Sus scrofa: one gene and its partner. The protein of the gene in region 1 interacts with the protein of each later gene in a biochemical or structural test. Links are inferred from orthologs where the notes say so. Each region holds a gene or a part of one and is shown on either strand. Other genes may lie near its edges. The genes, in order: LOXL1 and FBLN5.

Evidence for each region.
Region 2: the proteins of LOXL1 (region 1) and FBLN5 form a complex in vitro, tested with the Homo sapiens proteins (2 studies listed by BioGRID and IntAct). The link is inferred for Sus scrofa from reciprocal best matches to the Homo sapiens genes LOXL1 and FBLN5.

What each region holds. Positions count from the first base shown.
Region 1 is NC_010449.5:59,498,745-59,508,957, forward strand, and holds the start of LOXL1 (lysyl oxidase homolog 1), read right to left. Parts: upstream 6,418-10,213; 5' UTR 6,076-6,417; coding exon 4,923-6,075; intron 519-4,922; exon of another isoform or gene 1-518. UniProt on the Homo sapiens protein: Catalyzes the oxidative deamination of lysine and hydroxylysine residues in collagen and elastin, resulting in the formation of covalent cross-linkages, and the stabilization of collagen and elastin fibers.
Region 2 is NC_010449.5:113,488,158-113,497,873, forward strand, and holds part of FBLN5 (fibulin-5), read right to left. Parts: intron 4,845-9,716; coding exon 4,590-4,844; intron 1-4,589. UniProt on the Homo sapiens protein: Essential for elastic fiber formation, is involved in the assembly of continuous elastin (ELN) polymer and promotes the interaction of microfibrils and ELN. Stabilizes and organizes elastic fibers in the skin, lung and vasculature.

The DNA of each region.
Region 1 (10,213 bases):
GGGGAGTAGGAAGAGGACCCAGGGCCCTCTGTCTCCACAACTGTCTGGCTCTTTCCCCCAGGTTCCTCGCCTGAAGACTCCATTTCTTTCTGAAGGAGCAACTTGAGACCACTTCTGGAAGTAAGGAGGGATCCTGAGCTGTGATTCTGCCTCCACCAGTCACCAGTAGGTAGCCTTGGGCAGGTCACTTAACCTCTGAGGGCCTCAGGTTCCTCCTCTGCAAAAGGAGGGGAGTCATAATACCCAGGGTTGCTATGAGGGTTGAGCGACTGTGATTGTGAAGCTCCAAGAACAGTGTTAGGCGCTGATACGCGCTAGAGACGTAGATGTGTTTGTTAAACAAACATGCTGGAGTCTGGAGTGGGGATGACAAGGCTGCAAGCCAACGCCACACGGAGGAGGTGCTCTTTGCTTCCAAAGCTGTGCACACTCACTGTCCAGCCCTCACTCTGTTGCAACCCATGCCCAGAATGTGGGAGAAGTCGAGTATCTACTGAATGACCAAATGGATGTGCAAGGTAAGCCTGAATACATGAAAATTTAAGAAAAAAAAAAAAAAGTATAGTGGTTAAGAACCCAGGATAGGGAGTCAGGCGGACTCCGATCCTGGTTTCACTACTCAGAGGTTGTGTGACAATCAGCAAGTGAGCCTGTCGTCTTAGCTATGAGATGGGATGATGACAGCATTTGGCTGGTGGGGTTGCTGTGGGCATCAAGAGAGATGATGTATAAAGTGCACCGTATACGCCGGCAGAACCATCCCCCTGGAGGTGGCTGTGGGAACTGGCGCCCACGTCCTGCCTCGCCTGGTTCGCGCGGGGGAGGGGGGGGGCACGAGCGTCCTCCTGGGTCCTCTCAGGACGATGCAGAGATGACAGGCACAGACTGAATTCAGGCATGGACACTTTGAGCTGGGAGCTCTCGCTAGGTCTCAGTTTCCCCATCTGTACCAGTGGACCATAATCCCCACCTCTCTAGGAGAGGCAGGGGTGAAGGAAATTGCACATTCACGCCACCACGCTCAGCAGGTGCTCCTCTGCAGAGGGCTGAAGTTGTTATCACCATCCCGCCTGGGGGCTCCAACTCCGGGTGCTTGTTGGGTGGAGGCCTGCCCTGTCCTTCTCCGTATCTACTCTGAGCCTTGTGGAGGTGGGTGGGTGGCCCACAGAGGGGAGGCAGCCTGCGAGGGGGAGGGGCAGGCTGTGGGGGTGCAGCAGGGAGCCAGGGCTGCTCTCAGGGACTAAAGGGCCCTGTCTGGCCTCTTGGAGGCAGGAGGCTGGATAGAGAGGGCTGTGCCCTAGACACACCCCTATGTGAATGCAGGGCTTAAAACACCTGGGCTAGGGGCAATACAGGATGCTGTGGAGGCCGGAGAGAGAGAGAAGGAGGAGGGGAGAGAAAGGAGGTGCCTCAGGTTCTGGAGCAACAGGCTAGAGCATTGAGATTTTGTCCTAAAGACCTTGGGAGCCAGAGAATCTTCTTGACCGGGAGAGTACCATGGTCAGCAGTGCAAGGGTGTATCTGCCCCATGCTTAGGATGGACTGAAAGTGACCAGGGAGGAGGCAGCCACGGCTCCGATTGGCTGTGTGAAGACAGGGATGGAGGACCCACGCCAGGCCAAGCTGGCACAGCCATTGGAGATGCCCTGGGAGGACAGCCAGGCGGCCTGCTCCATGTTACTTTCACAGGGTTACTGGAGCCAGTGAATCAGGCCGAGGGTGTGAGGGGGAGGCCCTGGGAGAAAAGCCATGGTCTCCTAGGGCCAGGAGTCATCTTAGTCCACACGAATGCCACTAGCTCAGAGGTGCTAGGCTGTGGAGAGGCAGAAGCAGGGCCTGGCCGTGGCAGAGGAGACGCCCAGCGCAGGGGATGCAGCCAGGCTGGGAAACAGGCAGCCGCCCTCTGGGCCTCTGCATGGATGTGCTGTGACCAGCAGGCCAGGTATGTGACCTGGGCCTCTGTTGCCTCTCCTTCCCTCCAGTCACGTGTCTGAGACCACAATAGTGCCGGAGGCTTTGGGCAGTGTTCCTCCCCACAGGGTGAGAGGGAAGAGGGTGCAGGCGCCCAAGGAAGAAACCAGGCTCTGGACAGGCGCTTGGAAAGGGCCCAAACGTGGAGGACGTGGGTGGTGCGCACATGTGTTTGGTGTTGTGAGGACACGTCCACGCCCACACACATGCGCACGGGCTGCCAGCGCCCAGCCTCAGACCCCTGGGTGTGCGGCCAGGAGGAATGAAGTCAGTTTCGGAGAATCCGCTCTGGACGCCCACACCAGGCCTGGGGGTCTGATCTCAAGCACAAGGCTTGGCCTTCCCCGAACCGGGATTTTCCACGGGCCCAGCTTAGCAGGGTGGAAAGGGGAACAAATGATGGGTGAGAAGGTACTGCTCCCTCTCTGGCCTCTCCGTGGACCCTGATCTAGCCTGCACCCCCCCATCCCCCATGACCAGAGAAGGGACACCTGCAGAGTGCTGACAGCATTCCTGTCAGCTTGGGCATCTCCTCCTCTGGGAAGTCCTCCCTGAGCTCTGAGCCCTGATGGGGAGGACCGACCCATGGGTTCCCTTAACCTACCCCCCCAGTGCCTGCCCAGTTGTGGCACTGAGGTGCTCCCTTTTCTATGCCTCCTCAGGACAGGGTCTGGATTCATATGTGGCATCTAGTATATTATCTTCAGGGGAGAAATGTCTTCAATCCAAAACAAACCCTGGGGCTCAGGTGCAATGGCCAGAGGTCCTGCTAAGCACCAAGGACCCCCCCACTCCAGACGCGGCCTTGCCCGGGCTAGTCCCCTCTGAACCTCAAGAACTGAGAGGCCAAAGAGGAATCTTAGAATGCCCACTGGCTTAGGGCACAGCTGTCAAGTCCCAGGCCTGGCTCAGCCAGCAGTGCTATTTGAGGCCTCGGTTTTTCTCTTCTGCCCAGAGGCGGAGCTCTTCTGGCCGAGCCACCCTGTGGTCTTGCATTCTAAGAAAAGCCGCCACAGAAGTTTAGCCTATAGGTAAAACTGCTCTCCTCCAAGGAGTTCTAGGAGTAGCTGAGGCACAGCAGACACACACCCAGCTGCAGGGATGCAGCAAGTCCTGGTGAGGCTCAGATGAGGGTGAGGCGGCCTTTATCACATCACAGAAGGGCCCTCTGTCTACCTCCCGACCTGAGCTCCTGCGGGTTCTCAATGTGGGACTCAGCCTCCACTGGAGTGCGATCTATGTCTTGGATGTGGGGGAGGGCGTACTACATGGGGACACTCCTCTCCCCTGGCCGGGAGCTCCAGCAGGCCCTGGAGAGGCAGGGGTTGCCACTCCTCTACCTCAGCAACAGCCTCTCACCCCAAATCAGTACGGCCGGAAACAAAGCAGTGTGCCCGTGCTGACAGAGGCACAGGACAAAGGCTGGGGGTGCAGTACCTGGGTCCCTGGGCCCTGCAGTGCTCAGCCCTCACCTGGTGGGCCTTGCACAGCTGCCTGCATGTGGAACAGAGAATCAGGCGTGGAGAACCAGGGCATTAAATGAAGCCTACAAGAGGCAAGGCTGGGCTAGAACGCATATGCACCAGGGACTAAATAGAAAACCCTGACCAAAGCTTACTTGGGACTTACAGAGACAGAAGCAGGAAGGGGAATTCTAGGACATTGGAGGTTAGGCCAATAGCTGTCCAGCCCTGGCCAGACCACTAGTGGGCCCTTGCCAAAGTGGCCTGCCTGCTAACCACACGTGTGGAGTTGCTCATCTGAAGAAGGAAGCTGCCCCTTCTGCTGTGTCCTCATGTGCAGATGGCTTGGGCTTTCCCATGATTAGGTCATATCTTCAACACCCCCTGTACCCATGTCCACAGCTGCCTCCTGGGACTCTCCAACAGGGCCAGGACAAGGGTGACTGAGGCCCTGGCCTGGGGTGCAAAATTTAAGATGGCGCCTAAAAACTCAGTAACTAAGAAAAGTAATAATATTTGAGACAATATCCCACTCCTTTTTTTTTGGCCACACCCATAGCATGCAGAAGTTCCTGGCCAGGGATTGAACACACGCCACAGAAGCGACTGGAGTCACAGCAGTGACAATGCAGGATCCTTAACCTACTGGAGCCACAAGGGAACTCTGAGCCAGTATTTTTACAATTCAACACTGATGCATAAAAATATCTGTGATGAACAAAACATCAAAATTTCAAATAAAGACATCAGTATTGCTGATTTTTCAGTCTGCCTCAGGCTCGAATACAGTTTGGCATGGCACCCTTACTGGTTCTATTTAAAATCAGGATATTTTGTTCATCTTTTTTTTGGCATTTTTTAAAATCTAAAAATGTATTAAACTATTCCTTATCTTAATTACTGAGTTTTTTGGCACCCAGGCCAGAGCCTCACTTGCCTCTCTAGTCCAGACTTGCATTGTCCCCCCTGAGGAGCTCCCCCACCCCAAGAGCTCTGGGTCATCTAGTCTGCTCTCCTGTCTTGGGCCAGAACCTTCCTTAACCTCCTGCTCATTCAGGCCAAGCTCACATATGCCCAGTGACTGGGAAGTTGCCACACCCCCAGAGGCATCTCCCAAGGCCTTTCTGACCCGTATGCTCCCTTCTTCACCTTGAGAGGCTGGCAGAGGGGCCCCTCCAAGTGTAGACAACATGCCCTGATGGGAGAGAAGGAGAAGCGGGGAGAAGGGTTCCTTTACGTTGTCCTCAAGTGACCCAAGCCAGTTCTGGAAGGCGCCTCCTTCCAAAGCCTTGTCCAGACCCACCACCTTCTACCTTCCCAAGCCAGGGTCAGGGCCTGCGCAAATCCTGGTGCCAATGACGATGGTAAGGCCAAGGAGGGAAGCATTGGGTTTGCCGTCGCGGGCGAGGGTGCGGGTCCTTCCTTAGGAGCTGGGGGATGCTCCCCGGAAAGGAAAGGATCTGGGTCTGGGCGCAAGGCTCTACTCACCTCGACCGTTCTGGTTGGGCCGGTACACGCTGCCCACACTGAGGCGGCCCTGCTGCGCGCCGCTGCGCTCGGAACCCGGTGGGGGCGCGTCGGAGCTGCGCACGGGCAGGTAGGGAGGCTCCAGCACGCGGAAAGGGGGCTGCGGCTCCACGGCCCGCGGCGGGCTGTAGGCCTCTGGCGGCATGTTGCCGTAGGGCGGGTACCAGCCGAAGCGGGGGTCGCCGCCGTAGGTGCCGCCGTTGGGCTGCGCGGCGTCGGGGCCCGAGTCGGGGTAGGCCTGCTCGAGGCCCGCGGTGCCCTCGTGGTACAGGCTGTGCGAGTAGCGGCGGTCCAGGCCGTCGGCGGGCTGCGGTGGCGGCTGCGGCGCGGGCGGCCTCTCCAGGGCCGGGTAGAAGCCCTGCGGCGGGTACTCGGGCTGCTCCTCGCCGCCGCCGCCGTACTCCTCGTAGCGCGCCCGGGGCTGGGGCTGGAAGGGGTAGACGACCCCCGCCGAGGCCACGGCCGCCGCCCCTGCTCCCAGGCCGCCTCCCGGGCCGCGGTAGTACACGTAGCCCTGGTCGTAGGTCCGCGACGCGGGGTCGTACGTCTCGTACTGGCTGACGAAGGGCGCCTGCGGGTAGGGGAACTGCTGCGGGAAGGAGGGCGGCTGGCGGTAGGTGGTGGCGAAGGCCGAGGCCGAGACCGAGGAGGCGGAGCCCCCATGCCGTTGCTGGGAGACGGAGGTGCGGACCCGGGCCATGCCTGTGCTGTCCCCGACGGCCACTTCGCGCCAGTTGTCGGGCACCTGGCCGAAGCCAAAGGGGTGCCGCGCTTGGCCGCGCACGGTGTCCGAGCCGACGCGCCCGGGCAGGGGCAGGGATGGGGCCTGCCGACGCCGGAGGCCCCCCTGGCTGCGCCGCTGCGGGGCCTGGGGGGCTCCGGCCAGCAGCACTCGGGAGTTACCTTCGGAGCGCTGAGGCCCCGCCGGCACGTACTCGGAGCCCGAGTTGAGCAGGCTGTACACCTGCCCGTTGTTCTCCCACTGGATCAGCTGCCGCCAGCGTCCCGGATCTGAGCCCTGCCCCGGCTGCGCCTGCTGCCCATGCACCAGCACGCAGAGGCAGGCGCCCCACACTAGGGCCCCCAGCTGCCAGCCGGCTGGGGCCAGAGCCATGGTGGCCCCTCTGCAGAGGCCTGATGGACCGAGAGGCTCTCGGGAGTGGCCCCCTGTGCCTGCTTTTCTTCCCACGGCCTCGAGGACAGGACGGCTCCTTGCCTGCCCCAGCTCTAGCTTTGTCCATCCTGGCCTTGTCCCGAGCGGGACCGCTCCTCCGATGACAGCATTTCGAGGCCAAGGGGTCAGGGCAGGGCAGGGGCGGTGCCCAGGGCTGCAGGAGGCTCTCTGCAGGGCACTGGGCAGGCAGGACTGCCTGGGGGCCTTACATGGCCAGCCCGGCACTGGCTGGCCGCTTGGCTGGCGCTTTCCCACTCTGAATGAATAAGCAACAGGCTGGGAGCGTCAGGAGGTTTTGGGCAGCCTGGTCTGCCTGCTGGGGCCTCCTCCGCGGGGCCCTATGGCCCGCCGGGTTTTAGCTATGTGGCCTGTCCCACAGCTGCTGTGCTCCCTCAGTCCCTGGAGCTCCCAGCCAAGCCGCAGACCTGCCTTTGAGGAAGGGAATGAAGTGGGGAGTAGGAAGGGGCCCCTGGGGACTCAAGCCTGGTGACTGGGGCCCTGGCAGGCAAAATGGGGCTGAAGTGGCAGCACCGCTCAGGCCATTTCTCTCTGCTTTAGACCCAGCATCCTTGGTCTCACCTTACTAGCTTCTGGTTTGGGTTTGAATGAGCCCTTGACTCCTGTCCACTCCAGTCTCTCCCCAGGGCTCCCATTCTCCAAAGCAAGTGCTGAGACACCCTCCTTGTCAGTGGGCTTTCTTGGGGGAGTTGCTGAACCCGCAGCTGAACCATCCTTTGATTCTTTGACCTCAGGTGCACCTTAGTTCATTGGGCCTGAGTACAAAGAAGATGGAACTTCAGCCTTTTCCCTCTTGGCACACCCCTGGGGCTTTGCTCTCCCAGTTTGTAGAATGGGGGTGTGTCCCTGTGCTGAAAGGAACTTGCGAAATCATAGGAGAGATCAACTTGCTGCCTATCGTGTGTGGTTTCTGTCCTGCATCTCTGGAGTCGACATAGCCTAGAAATCACTGGAGTATACACAGGGATAAAATGAAACCTGGGGCCTGTCTTTGATACCGGACAGGAGTCATGGGGAGGCACCATGTGCCGTAAGCACAGAACAGCAGAAGGGGGGAACTCGAGGAATGAGCTAGTCCAGCAGCTGTGATTAAGCTGCTGGGTGATCTGGGGCAAGCGCCTTCCCCATTCTGATCCAGTCACCACATCTGATCAGTGGAGGATTAGACCGGCTGTTTCCTCAAGAATGCTTTGGCAGGTTCTCTAGCCTCTTGGCAAAAATCAGAGGGGCTTCAGAAGTTTGGATGCTTTGGCCTCCAAGAAATCACTCTGATGCCTCCCCTGGGCTGCTTTCTCCAACCCTGGTCATGGGAACCGGAGGGCAGACATTCCCCTCTTGTGCTTCCACACCAAGGACAAGAACCTGCCCTTGGTCTCTCCAGGTTCCCCTACTTTGAAAACTCCTGGCGCCCACCTTTGGAGGAGACAGCAAAAGTGGACCTTCCTCAAAGACCCTGGACCACCCCCCCATCCATACCCGTCAGCATTTGTTCCATCACACTGTGCCTCAGGATGAAGTTTGGTTCAGGTGACTCAGGGCACCTGTCCACCCTCACAGTCCAGCCAGCAGCCATTCACAGCATGGCCCTTGGCTCCCTGGTGTGGGGTTTGATCTTAGATACCAGACAGGACTCCTGCAAGGAGCAACTGGTTTGGCTCGGGACAGGAAGCCAGATGCCCAGCTGGGCTCACTGAGGCCTGGGACTGGGAGGGTTAAGCCTTCCCTCCCTCCCACCTGCCCCCTGCAGCGGTGGCCTCAGCCTCTTGGAATCCCTGGGGTCCTGTAGGGCCCTCCCGCCAGCCAGCCAGATGGGCAGCAGCGCCAGGAGAGGAGGAGGGAGAGCTATGGAAACAGGCCTCAGGGTACCCCCAGGTGGGGAGGGGGAGGGAGAAGGAGGAACAGAGGGAGAACAGAGGATGGCTGAGAGGTAGGGGAGCCCTGCTGGCAGAGTGGAGAAGGCAGGACCCCTCTTCTCCAGCCAGGCAGGGGGCAGGGGCTGCCTCAGGGCTCTGGAGCTGTGGGGATCAGGGCACAGGCCATTGTGCTCAGCCAGCCTCTGCCTGGGAGCCAGCTCTTGGCGTGAAACCCTACCCAATGCTGGCTCCTGCTCCTCTTTCTTTTTTCTTAATAAGGTCGAATCAGAGTGAGTCAGAGGAGCCAAGTTTCCTGTTAGGCTCTGTTTGAATAAACTCTGCTCTGAACATAGCTTGGGCCTCTGCACAGGCTCCCGGGGCCAGGGCTTTGGCCCTGCCAGCCGTCTCTGCTGAGACTGGAGACCTGGGGTCCCAGGGTGACTGAGCCAAGGTCCTGGCCTGACCCCCAGCCCCTCCCCAGGGAAGCCTTTTAAGCTCTCAGAGCCTCAGAGTCTTCATCTGTAACTTGGGAGTAATAATACCTTTCTCGTGGTATATTTGGGAGGATGAAACAAGAGGATTATGAAAAGTAGCCAGCGCAGTGCCAGGCATATGGCCACTATTTTTCTTTCCTCTTAGACCAGTGAGGGAACAAGGGCTTTATCCCCAAGGGTGTCCACCCTCTCCCATTTTCTCTGTCCCTTTCCTATTTTTATCTGCCTTCAGCATCCTTCCCTGTGCCCAGCTGGGGACAACCCCCTGGGGCCTGTCCTCTTCCCTCCTCCGCACTTCCCGCCCCTCACCTTCCTTCTCCCTCCCTGTCCGGGTCTCACAAAGTTACTGACAAGACCCCCTCAGATCGCTGAGCCCAGGGGAGCCTGCCTGGTTCCACCTCTCCACACGCAGGGCAAGGCCTTGCCTGAGTAGCTGGCAGCATCCTGGCTTCCTTTGATTAGACCCTGCAGAGTGGGGATCTGAAGAAGACCTGGGCAGTCTGCAAAGGGTGCAGGGCTGAGGTCAAATGAGGGCTTCGAGGCGCCAGGCTAGACTGGGGCCGAGCTGTCTGGAGGTGAGTGGAGTGGCAGGCAGCTCTTCTCTAGGCCCTGTCCCTGCAGGCCGGGTTCATACCCTCAGGTTTAAGATCTAGCCATGTGGCTGAGGCTTGTTGCCAGTCCCTGGCACTAGGAACCAGGCGTAAGGGCTCTTGGAGGGCTGAGGGTATGGAGGTGCAAAAGCTTGTTGGTAATGTGTGACTTTATTAGAGACCCTATTATGTGCTCAGCTCTGGACCAGGTTGTTCTGCCACTAGGCTTCCCATGGGACAGCCCTTGTCCTTTGATCCTAAGAGAGAACTCCAGGCTCTGGAAAATCCATTGGGGAGTGAGGAGGCCTCAGACCCAACCCACAGAAGGTTTAGGGAGCAGGGAAAGGGCAGAAGCGGCAGGATCCTTACTGCTTCGCCCAGGAAAGGATCAGGAGGCCCGCCGTGGGTCAGGATGTTTCTCTGGTTGGGAGGAAACGATGAGGCTGGCTCTGGGCACCCCTGCCCTCTGTGCCCCACATGGAGCAGGGCTGGGTCTCCCCCGCCCACCATGATCCCTGGCTGCCGAGCCCAGGCCTCTTGGAAAGGGCATCAGGAAAGGCCATTGATGAGATTTGTATGGAACTGGGGATGGAAGCCCCGGCCAGGCAGCGCTGGATTGTGAGGCCCCAGCCGCTGCCTCTGGAAAGTGGGCCGGAGGAAGTGCTAAGCGCGGAGGCCCGGGCAAGCTGGCACAGAACACGCTGACTCTGCAGGGAGAGGACCACCGAGTGACCACTGCCAGCTGGGCCCTGCGCCCACACCCTCCCCTGCAGCCACATCTGGTGCAGTGGTGGGGGAAGCAGGGGGGTGTTCCGTCCCCAGAACTAAGACAGCCTTGGAGGGGTCCACGGAGGGGGCTGGGGCCCTTTGGTTTGGAAGTGTCTCTCTGCAGGGCTGGAACTCAAGAGAAGCCCGGAAATGGGGGAGGTGAAGTCAGAGCGTTTTTGAGGGACAAATGGGGTGGGGGATGTGGGGCGGGAAGGAACCCACCCTTCTCTAGGACCCAGGGGAAATCGGTAGCTCTGGCCACCTCCCACTCGGTTTTCCCTGCTGGCTCTGGGGGCCCTCTCCCCCATGGTTCCCTGGGGAATTGGAAATACCAGAGCTGATAGAACAGTCTGGG
Region 2 (9,716 bases), about 54 Mb from region 1:
GCCAGGATCTGGGGGGCACATTCTAACCAGCCAGGCATCCCACCACTCTCATGGAGGCTGCCCTGGTGCTGAGCGGCCCCAAGCCAAGATGCTGGTTTTCTCTCTTTTTCTTTCTTTCTTCTTTCCTCCCTCCCTTCCTTCCTTCCTCCCTTCCTTTCTTTTCTTTTCTTTTTTTAGGCATGTGGAGGTTCCCAGGCTAGGGGATGAATCTAAGCTGCAGCTGCCAGTCGATGCCACACCACAGCAATGCCCCGTCCGAGACACATCTGTGACCTATGCTGCAGCTTGTGGCAATGCCGGATCCTTAACCCACTGAGCAAGGCCAGGGACCGAGCCCACATCTTCATTGATACTAGTCAGGTTCTTAGCCCACTGAGCCACATCAGGAACTCCAAGGTGCTGGTTTTCTTGATGACACAAACTTTGCGTGTGGACTCAAATTCTTGGATCACTGTTCACTCTGCCTGCAAAGGTCCCAAAGAGTCCAGACTTAGCTCTCAGGGCCTGTGGACTCAAACCCAAGACAAACTTTGCTCTGGAAGGAGCAGGGTCTAGTCACACCCCAAGTGGGCCCCAAGACCGAGGGGTCAGGAAGGAAGCTCAGACCTGGGCTCTGAGCCTGGCCCTGCCCAGCCTGCAGAGACTGGAAATGAAGCAGGAAACTGCTGCCTTGAAAGTGAGTCCAGGAGTTCCCGTCATGGCTCAGTGGTTAACGAATCCGACTAGGAACCATAAGGTTTCGGGTCTGATTCCTGACCTTGCTCATTGAGTTAAGGATCCAGCATTGCCGTGAGCTGTGGTGTAGGTTGCAGATGCGGCTCGGATCCCGTGTTGCTGTGGCTGTGGTGTAGGCCGGCGGCTACAGCTCCAATTAGACCCCTAGCCTGGGATTCTCCATATGCAGTGGGAGCAACCCCAGAAAAGGCAAAAAAAAGAAAGAAAGAAAGAAGGAAAGAAGGGAAGGAAGGAAAGAAGAAAGAAAGAAAGGAGAGAGAGAAAAGAAAGTGGATCCAAAACCCAGAGAGTAAGCCTCAGTGAGAGAGTCCCCTTGGTTCTTTAAAGCATTCTTGCTTATAGTTGATGTGCAGAAACCAGGGCATGGGAAGGACCAAAGAGCGAGGGCATGACCTCGGAAAGCGTTGCCCCCCAAAGTTAAACCTGAATTGGCTCAAGTCCCTAGATTGGTCTCCAGTTTACAGAAAAATAGAGAGGAGGAAGGAACACATGAAATACGACCACAGGAGCACAAGCAGGAAGATCTCAAAAGTGGGAACGTCTACAGGGCAGACGACTCAGATTCTTCAACAAATAAGGAGCAAGAGAGACTAAAAAGATGGAGAGCCTTCCACGGCTTGTTTGGATCCAATTCCGAAATATCAGTAGGAAAAAAAGGACATTTATGAAATGATCAAGAAAATGTGAACCCCGTCTGGATACTTAATGATAACTAGGAATTACTGCAGCGTTCATAGTGGTATTGCGGCTACTGTTTTTTTTGTTGTTTTTTTGTTTGTTTGTTTGTTTGTTTTTTGAAAGACGCTTTATCTCTTAGAGATACATGCTGAAGTATTTAAGGGTAAAGTAATTTGATGCCTGAGATTTGCTTTCAGTTGATCCACTGGGTCAGAATAAAGAAGAAACAGGAATGGGTCTGTATTGACAATTTATGAAGCTGGGTGATAAGTAGGTAAGTGTTCTTTATGCACGCTCTGCTTTGGTCTAGGTCCAAAGTTTTATTTGAACAAAAATTTATGTCCCGAGAACGCCCTAGTTTCTCATCATTGCTCCAGGACTGGCTGCTGGGAGGATGGAGGACACCTTTACCTCCCTGAGCCTCCGTCTCCTCATCCCGAGCTTCAGTGGGTTCAAATCTGGGCTCAGCCCCCAATTGCTGTGTGACCTTGGACAGATTCTTAACCTGTCTGTGCTTCAGGGGGCAACGAGGCGAACAGGAAGAAGAATAGTCCTCCCGCCTAGGGTTGTGGTGAGGGTTCCGTATGTTCATTCATGTAAAGATCCTGGCATGCAGCACTACGTGAGTGAGTGCTATTATTACTACGGCTGCTGTCGTTGCTGTCGTTGACTATTTTCTAGGTGGAGGAAGAGGAGGAGAGGGCCCCCTTGGAGCTGCGGTCCTCCTCTCCCAGAACACCCCTGTTTCAGAAGCGCCTTCCAGTTCTACCTGATCACACAATTGCTCAGGGCAGCTTCCTGCAGGATCAGACCCAGGTTCTGGGAAACAGAGATGTGCTCTCTTCTGGCGCAGTGACAACCTGCTCACCTCTCTTCCCAACAGTGTCCCCCTCTCAGCTCCTTGGGTTCCTTCCCCCTCTTCTGCTGCCTCCGAACTTTGCTGCCCTTTGTCCTGTCCCCACCCCTTTCCAGCGCCGCCCCTCTCACAATGCCCAGAAGGCCCCGTGTAAACCAGGAAACGGCAGGCAGGGTGGAGGGGGGGCGGTGAGCAGGAAGAACCCGGGCCTTCTGAATGCCCGATGCTGAGCTCTTTGGAAGTGGACGGGCCCGGTGCCAGTCCTCACTGGGGTTCCCAGACTGTATTCTTCTTACAAAAGGGCCATGATGGAGGCTCCACATCTCCTGTGGGACAGGTTGGGGGCCATAAAACTGCATGATGTCACATGGACCAGGAGATGAAGAGGTTTCCCAGATGCAGCCTTATTCTCAAGGGCACTGGGATCCTGGAAAGCGGGGTGTGGGAGGACAGGGGGCCCTTCAGAGAGCCCCACAGCCTGTCCCAGCTGTTCCACAAAAGGGGCCTGTGGGATGGCCCAGGACATCCGGGGAGCGGCCTGCCCCGTGGCTGCGGCCACCTGAGGCCCCCTCCCGGATCCTGGAGCGCTTCGACGGGTCATTACACCCCCTTCCTCCCCTCAACACCTGCACAGGGCCACCCGGCTTATCCAGCCCCACATCCTATAAGAGCAGCACCTCCACCTCCAACCCCCCTTTCTCTGCATTTCCTCTGGGATCATTTCTTTTCTGCCAAACGAGAGAGGTCAGGTGGGTGAGTTAAGAAAACTTGGCCAGGGAGTAGGAGAGCTGGACTCCCATCCAACCTTGGCAACTGCCTAACCTGGTAGAGTCCAGGTTCTCTTTTTCATCAAATGAAAAGGCTGCCATTAAAGAGTGTTCAAGTCCCTTCCAGGTACAGAGTTCCATTGCCCTGCTGGTTACAAGGAAGTGTGTTACTATCTTGCCCACCAGCGCTTCAGTCCAGGGCTCAGCTCGACTGGGTGCCACACTTCTTCCCCTGGTACACTCATTTATATTCAAAATGACCACCAACCAGTTCTCCCCTGCCCCCCCCCCATACACAGACATCCCTCCCCTTGAGACTAGTGAGAACAGAAAATTTTGGTTAAGGTGTATCCAGTTTTCCCTCTTAGCTCTGAAAGACACTGGTTTGCATATTATTGCCATGGAGTCAAATGGAAATGCACACGCATTTGCATGAACAGACAGAAGACAATACAAAATAACCAACACAGCCTCTCTAACAGTAGATAATGGCTCAATCTACTGAGCCCTGAAATGGGACCAACAAAAATCTCCCTAAGCCGAGTGATGGCCTCCCAAACTTTCAGGGTATAGAAAGGCGATATTAGAATTTCAATTCACATTTATTTTGCTCACATCGAAATTTAAATTTTAAACTTTCTATCTCTTACGTAGGCTTTATACTTTTCAAGCCATATTAGAAACACAGGACATGTGTGTAATTTATAAATATGCATATAGTAAAGATCCTGGGTCAAAAAGGTTTTGCGGATGGGGTGCATCACCACAAAACTTTGGGGCCCTCACCACTCTAGACCAGTGGCAAGGTTTTGGTCCAACCTGAGCCAAAGTGAGCAAGGAAGATCCCAAGTCTCCGCCAAGGCCACACGGGCCAACAAGGCACCCAACACACCACTTGCCAATTAGCCTGGGGACCTCACGGCACATGGTGTCCCTTCTTCCCCAAGGTCTACTCTTGCCATGAGCTCTCAGCAGCAAGGCTCCTTTTGGGCAAAAGAACACTGGTCCCCACCCAAGGAACCCACCTTCTTTCCAGAATAGTTGGTCTTAGCCTTCAAGGCTTCTTTACCTAAGGAGCCGGTGCTCCACTCAAGGGTGAGTGGAGTTGAAGACTCTTCTCTCCGGGAATCACTTACTAAGTTTGACCAGATATACTTGTTATTGAAGAGGGAAAATATGAGCTTGGTCTTTAAATAGATAGAAAATAGATGCCATGAAAAGAGAGATGATGGATAGATAGATAGATAGATAGATAGATAGATAGATAGATTGATAGATCGATAGATAGAAGGATGGAGAGAAAGAGAGAAAGGAAGGAAGAGCGAAAAAGCAAATTGGCTTTCTGGAGAAGAGCCAGTGAAACTAAACTCCTCCTTAGCTGGGAGGGCACCCAGAGACACAGGCCACTGAGAGTGAAAGAACCGCATAGGATGTATGCTGTTTTACCAGTGCCCTGCATAGCAGCTGACATCCCATCTGGTGGACCTGCTGGATGAGGGCACTGCCATCCTCAAGCAGAGGGGCAAGAAAGCCTAGGACGCTGGGCTACTCACCCACACACTGGTTGCTTTCATCCATCTGGTATCCAAAGCGACATATGAGAGGCCTCGAAATCGTGGGGTAGTTTGGAGCTGACAGCGGGGGTGCAGCTGCTGGGTACGGCCCTGAGTAGGGGTTGGAGTAGGGGTTGGAGTAGGGCCCTCGGTACACTGGGTTCGTTCGGGGGATGCACAAATACCCGCCGTTTTGGTTAACACACATCATGTCTCCTCGGCAGGCCTCGGGGATAGTCCGGCACTCATCGATATCTGAAAGGACCACAGAAAGGACAAGCGTGAGTGGCCCTCCGGCCATGCTGTGCGTGTGTAAGCAGAGCTCTGTCCCAGGAGCACCACGAAGGACCCTAAAACACTCTCTACCAGCATCTGTTCCCAAACACGTAGGGTCGTTCCCGGCTCATCGTTGGCAGGCACTCTGCAAACACTGGCTGAATTGAATCAAACTGACAGGTGTCACCCCCAACACGGGCCACCCAACACCAATGTCGTGATGTTTGGCCCACAGCTACAAAAACCTACACTGTCACACGCTTCATCCTTTTCTCTAAATGAACCCGCATTGAAAACCCAAGGAAGCATTTTTTTTTCTTCAATCTTACAGCAAATAAAAAAACACTATCAATTATCAAAAATAGAAGGTAAGAATAAAAATAAATATATAACCATTAAAATCAAGAGTGTTTATCTGGGGTGCCCATATGATACTGGGAAACACCGGGGCAGGCATAATAATTGCACACACTTCTACTCCAAATAACAGCTGGGCAGGGAGAAAGCATCCCTTGTATCCAGAAAGATAAAGCTTGGCCAAGGCCTAGTTATATGGTAGGAAAGTGGAGACTCACTTGAGAGTCAGCTCACGCTGTGCTGACAAACAAGACCCATTTCCAGCCAGGCTAGTGCTCTGCTTGTCCTGCCTAGAGTCGGGGCCGTAAAGGGGCAGGGTTTTCTCGAAAACCAGCTTTTTGAGGCCTGAACTGGGGTGCCAGCATGAGCAGCTGACCTGATCCCACCTGCTGGAGCCCCTCACCAGTCTAGGGTTCTGCTCCACAGGGGATCAGAGGCTTGGCAAGAGAGGCCTGAGTCCTGACCGCTCACCCCACTCATCTCATCAGAGACACTCTTGCCAACTCCCACCCCAGGAAAGAGAAACGTGGAGCCCCGGTCTCCAGCCACGAGCCTGCAGTCATCATTAAAACTGGCCAGAAAAGATGGCTGCCACCCCCCTCTGCTTCCCTTGGCACATCCTCAACCCCCTTGACTCGAAGTCAACATGCAAGCCACGAGCTTCCTCACCACGTGTCATTCTTTTCAGCCCTAAACTCCGAGATTACAAATGATTCAGCCTAAATTAAACATCATTTAGGAGTTCCCGTTGTAGCTCCATGGTAACGAACCTGACTGGTATCCATGAGGATGTGGGTTCAATCCCTGGCCTTGCTCAGTGGGTTAAGGATCCAGCACTGCCATGAGCTGTGGTGTAAGTCGCAGACGTGGCTCGGATCCCGCATGGCTGTGGCTGTGACATAGGCTGGCAACCACAGCTCCAATGTGACCCCTAGCCTGGGAACTTACATATGCCACAGGTACGGCCTTAAAAAGACAAAATAATAATAATAATAATTTAAAAGCTAAATATATCCCCAAAGTAAGGGCCTTTTTCTTTTTCTATACCCTATGCGCCATCCACAACAAACTATTCTATTCTCTGAATGTCTTTTCTACCCCTGGTATTTGAATACGCCATTCCTACCACCTGAAATGCCATTTCTCAGGATCCTATTCATCCTTCAACACCTAATTCAAACGTGACCTCCACGAAGGCTTTCTTTACTGACACCAGACATAAGGCCTCATTCTCTCCCCTACTTCTTTCCCCCCGATCCCCAGCCCTGTAGCATGCAGAAATTCCTAGGCCAGGGATCAAACCCATGACATGGCAATGACCTGAGCCACCAGAGATCTTCCCTCTCCCCTATTTCTGCAGCACTGACTGCCTTCATCTCAACTTGACAGTGACTTTACTCCACCCTGTACAGTTTCCTCCGTGTTGTCTGCCTTTCCCATGAGATGGCATGCTGGGAGAAGAGCCCCCACATGTTCTCAGAACAGGATGAGAATTAGACCTTGAGATGGGGGGACTACCTGAATTATCTGGGTGGGCCCAATGGCATCCCATAAATACTTAGAAGTAGAAGAAGGAGCAGAAGGATTGGTCAGAGACAAGACAACAGGGCAAGAAGAGACTGGAAGCATGGGAGGGACTTAACTTGCTGGCGTTAACAACGGAGGAGGGGCCCTGAGCCAAGGGAGAAGGTGGGCTCTAGGACCTGAGAAAGGCCTTCAGCCAACAGCCAGCAAGGAAACAGTGGCCTTGGTTCTACAACTGCAAGAAACTGAATTCTGTGCAAATATAAATCAATACAGCCTCAATGGAAAGCAGGATGGAGGATCCTCAAAAAAAAATTAAAACTAGAAATACCCTATGATGCAGCAATTCCACTTCTGGGTATATATCCAAAGAGGAGAGATATCTGTACTGCATGTTGCTGAAGCATTAGTCCCAACGGCCAAGATATGGAAACAACCCAAGTGTCCATCAATGGATAAAGATCTGGGAGAGATAGATACAGATACAGATACAGATATGCATACACATATACATATATATGATATAATAATAGTAATATGAATATTATTCAGCCTTAAGTAGAAAGAAAACCTGCCATTTGCCACAACACCGATGGACCTTGAGGGCATTATGCTAAATGAAATAAGTCAGATCAAAACAACTACTGTGTTATGTAACTTATATGTAGAATCCAAAAAAGGCAAACTTATAGAAATAAAGAGGACAGTGGTGGTCACCAGGTAGAATAAATGGGGAAACACAAAGGGTACAAACTACAAGTTAGAAGATGGGTAAGTACTCAGGAGCTAAAGTACCACGTGGTGATTATAATTCACAATCCTGCATCATATACTTGCAAATTGCTAAGAGTGTAAAGCCTGAATGTTCTTACTACAGAAAAGAAATGGTAATTATGTGATGTGACGGAGCTGTTAGCTAAGCCATAGTGGTGATCACATTGTAATATGTAAGGGTATCAGGCAACACGTTGGACACCTTAAACTTACAGTGTCGTACGTCAATTATCTCAGTTTAAAAAATAAAACCTGGAGGGTGGGACCAAGATGGAGGAGGCGTAAGATAAGGTGCTCACCCTCTCACATAAACACACAAACACACACACAAAAAAACCCATCTACATGTACACCGATTCACACAGAATATCCACTGAATGCTGGCAGAAGACCTTAAACCTCCAAAAAAGGCAAGAAACCCTCCACATAACTGGGTAGAAAAAAAGAGAGGGAGCAAGAATCAGGACAGGACTAGCTCTCCTGAGAGGGAGCTGTGAAAAAGAAAAGGAACACACACCCTGAGAGGCCACCTAACTGACAGGGAGATCAGTCGAGAAGGAGGGATCTCAGAGCCTCAGGGAAAAGTGCAGCAGCTGGACAGAGGAGGGCAAAGCAGAGAGAGAGCAGCATAGACCATCAGTACCACCTCCCAGGACACAACAGCCTGAGATGCTTGGAAGGGGGCTGGGCGCTGAGACTTAGGCTCTGGAGGTCAGTTCCAGGAAGAAAACTAGGGTTGGTTGTGGGGAAACAGCCTAAAGGGCCAGGGAGCACTGCATCAAGGGTTGGAGAGCAAAGAGCCACAGCCAAGGAAACCAGGGAAGAGGTATGGGCCTTTAGGAGAAGCAAGGCACCATTGTTGGGGAGGGCGAGAGGAGGAAGGGCGGACTGCCATAGGAATATCTTTCTCTGTGCAGGTGCAAACACTTGGAGGGCAGGGCTATGGGCAGCAAGGTGCCTCTTGTACAGGCTATGGGTAGCGATGCCTCCTGCATGGGCTAAGCATGATGGGGCACCTCTTCCGTGGTCTAGAGGTGGCAGGGTGCAAACCATCATGGTCAATTCAGACCCCAGAGGTGGGCATAGCCCACCACCACTAGGGGTCCATGAACAGCCACTACCTGCAGACCCAGTCACCTCCAAGGTTGGCACAGAGGAGGGCACTGCAACCAAGCACCACTGGTTGTTGCTCTCACTCCCCTGGGAATGCACACACTCTGCCACTGGCACTACCAAAAGCTCCAGGCGCCACCTACACCTGCCTGAGGGTCACCGCCACTTCCCAGAGCTCCGCAACTAGGAGCAGCCTGCACCACCTTCCTGCAGGTCCTTGCTATTGTCAAGGGCCCAGCAACCAGGCACTGGCTACTAGCCCTGCCCATTGCCTCCATCTCCCAGGAAGCATGCATAGCACACTATCAAGGGGATAACAGCCTGCACACACTGAGGAAAGAGACAGCAAGCATCCAAACCAAAAGCAGCCCTCATACCAAAAATAAATAGAAAGCTCTCACAAAATATCCAGGGGCACTTCCACATATAAATAGACCTTCAAGACTATAGTAGTTGTTTTCCCTAAACCCACAGAATAAGAAAAATACAAGCAAAATGAAGACACTCTGGCACCATTTCCAGTTAAAAGAGCAGGAAAATTCCCCTGAAGGAGCAAACAATGAAACAGACCTCTGCAGTCTGACAGACATTGAGTTCAAAAAGGAGATAGTTAGGAGTTCCTGTCGTGGTGCAGTGGTTAACGAATCTGACTAGGAATCATAAAGTTGCGGGTTCGATCCCTGGTCTCACTCAGTGGGTTAAGGATCTGGCGTTGCCGTGAGCTGTGGTGTAGGTTGCAGACACGGCTCGGATCCCGCGTTGCTGTGGCTCTGGTGTAGGCCAGTGGCTGCAGCTCCAATTAGACCCCTAGCCTGGGAATCTCCATATGCTGTGGGAGCAGCCCTAGAAAAGGGAAAAAGACAAAAAAAAAAAAAAAAAAAAAAAAAAAAGGAGATAGTTAAAATACTGAAGGAATTAAGAGCAGATATAAACATTAACGCAGATTACTTTAGACAGGAACTAGAAAATATAAAGAGGAGCCAAGAAAAATTAGAAAATTCATTTGCAAAAATGCAAGCTGACTTAAAGGCACCAAAGAACAGAATGAATAATGCAGAAGAACAAATTAGTAACTTGGAAGAT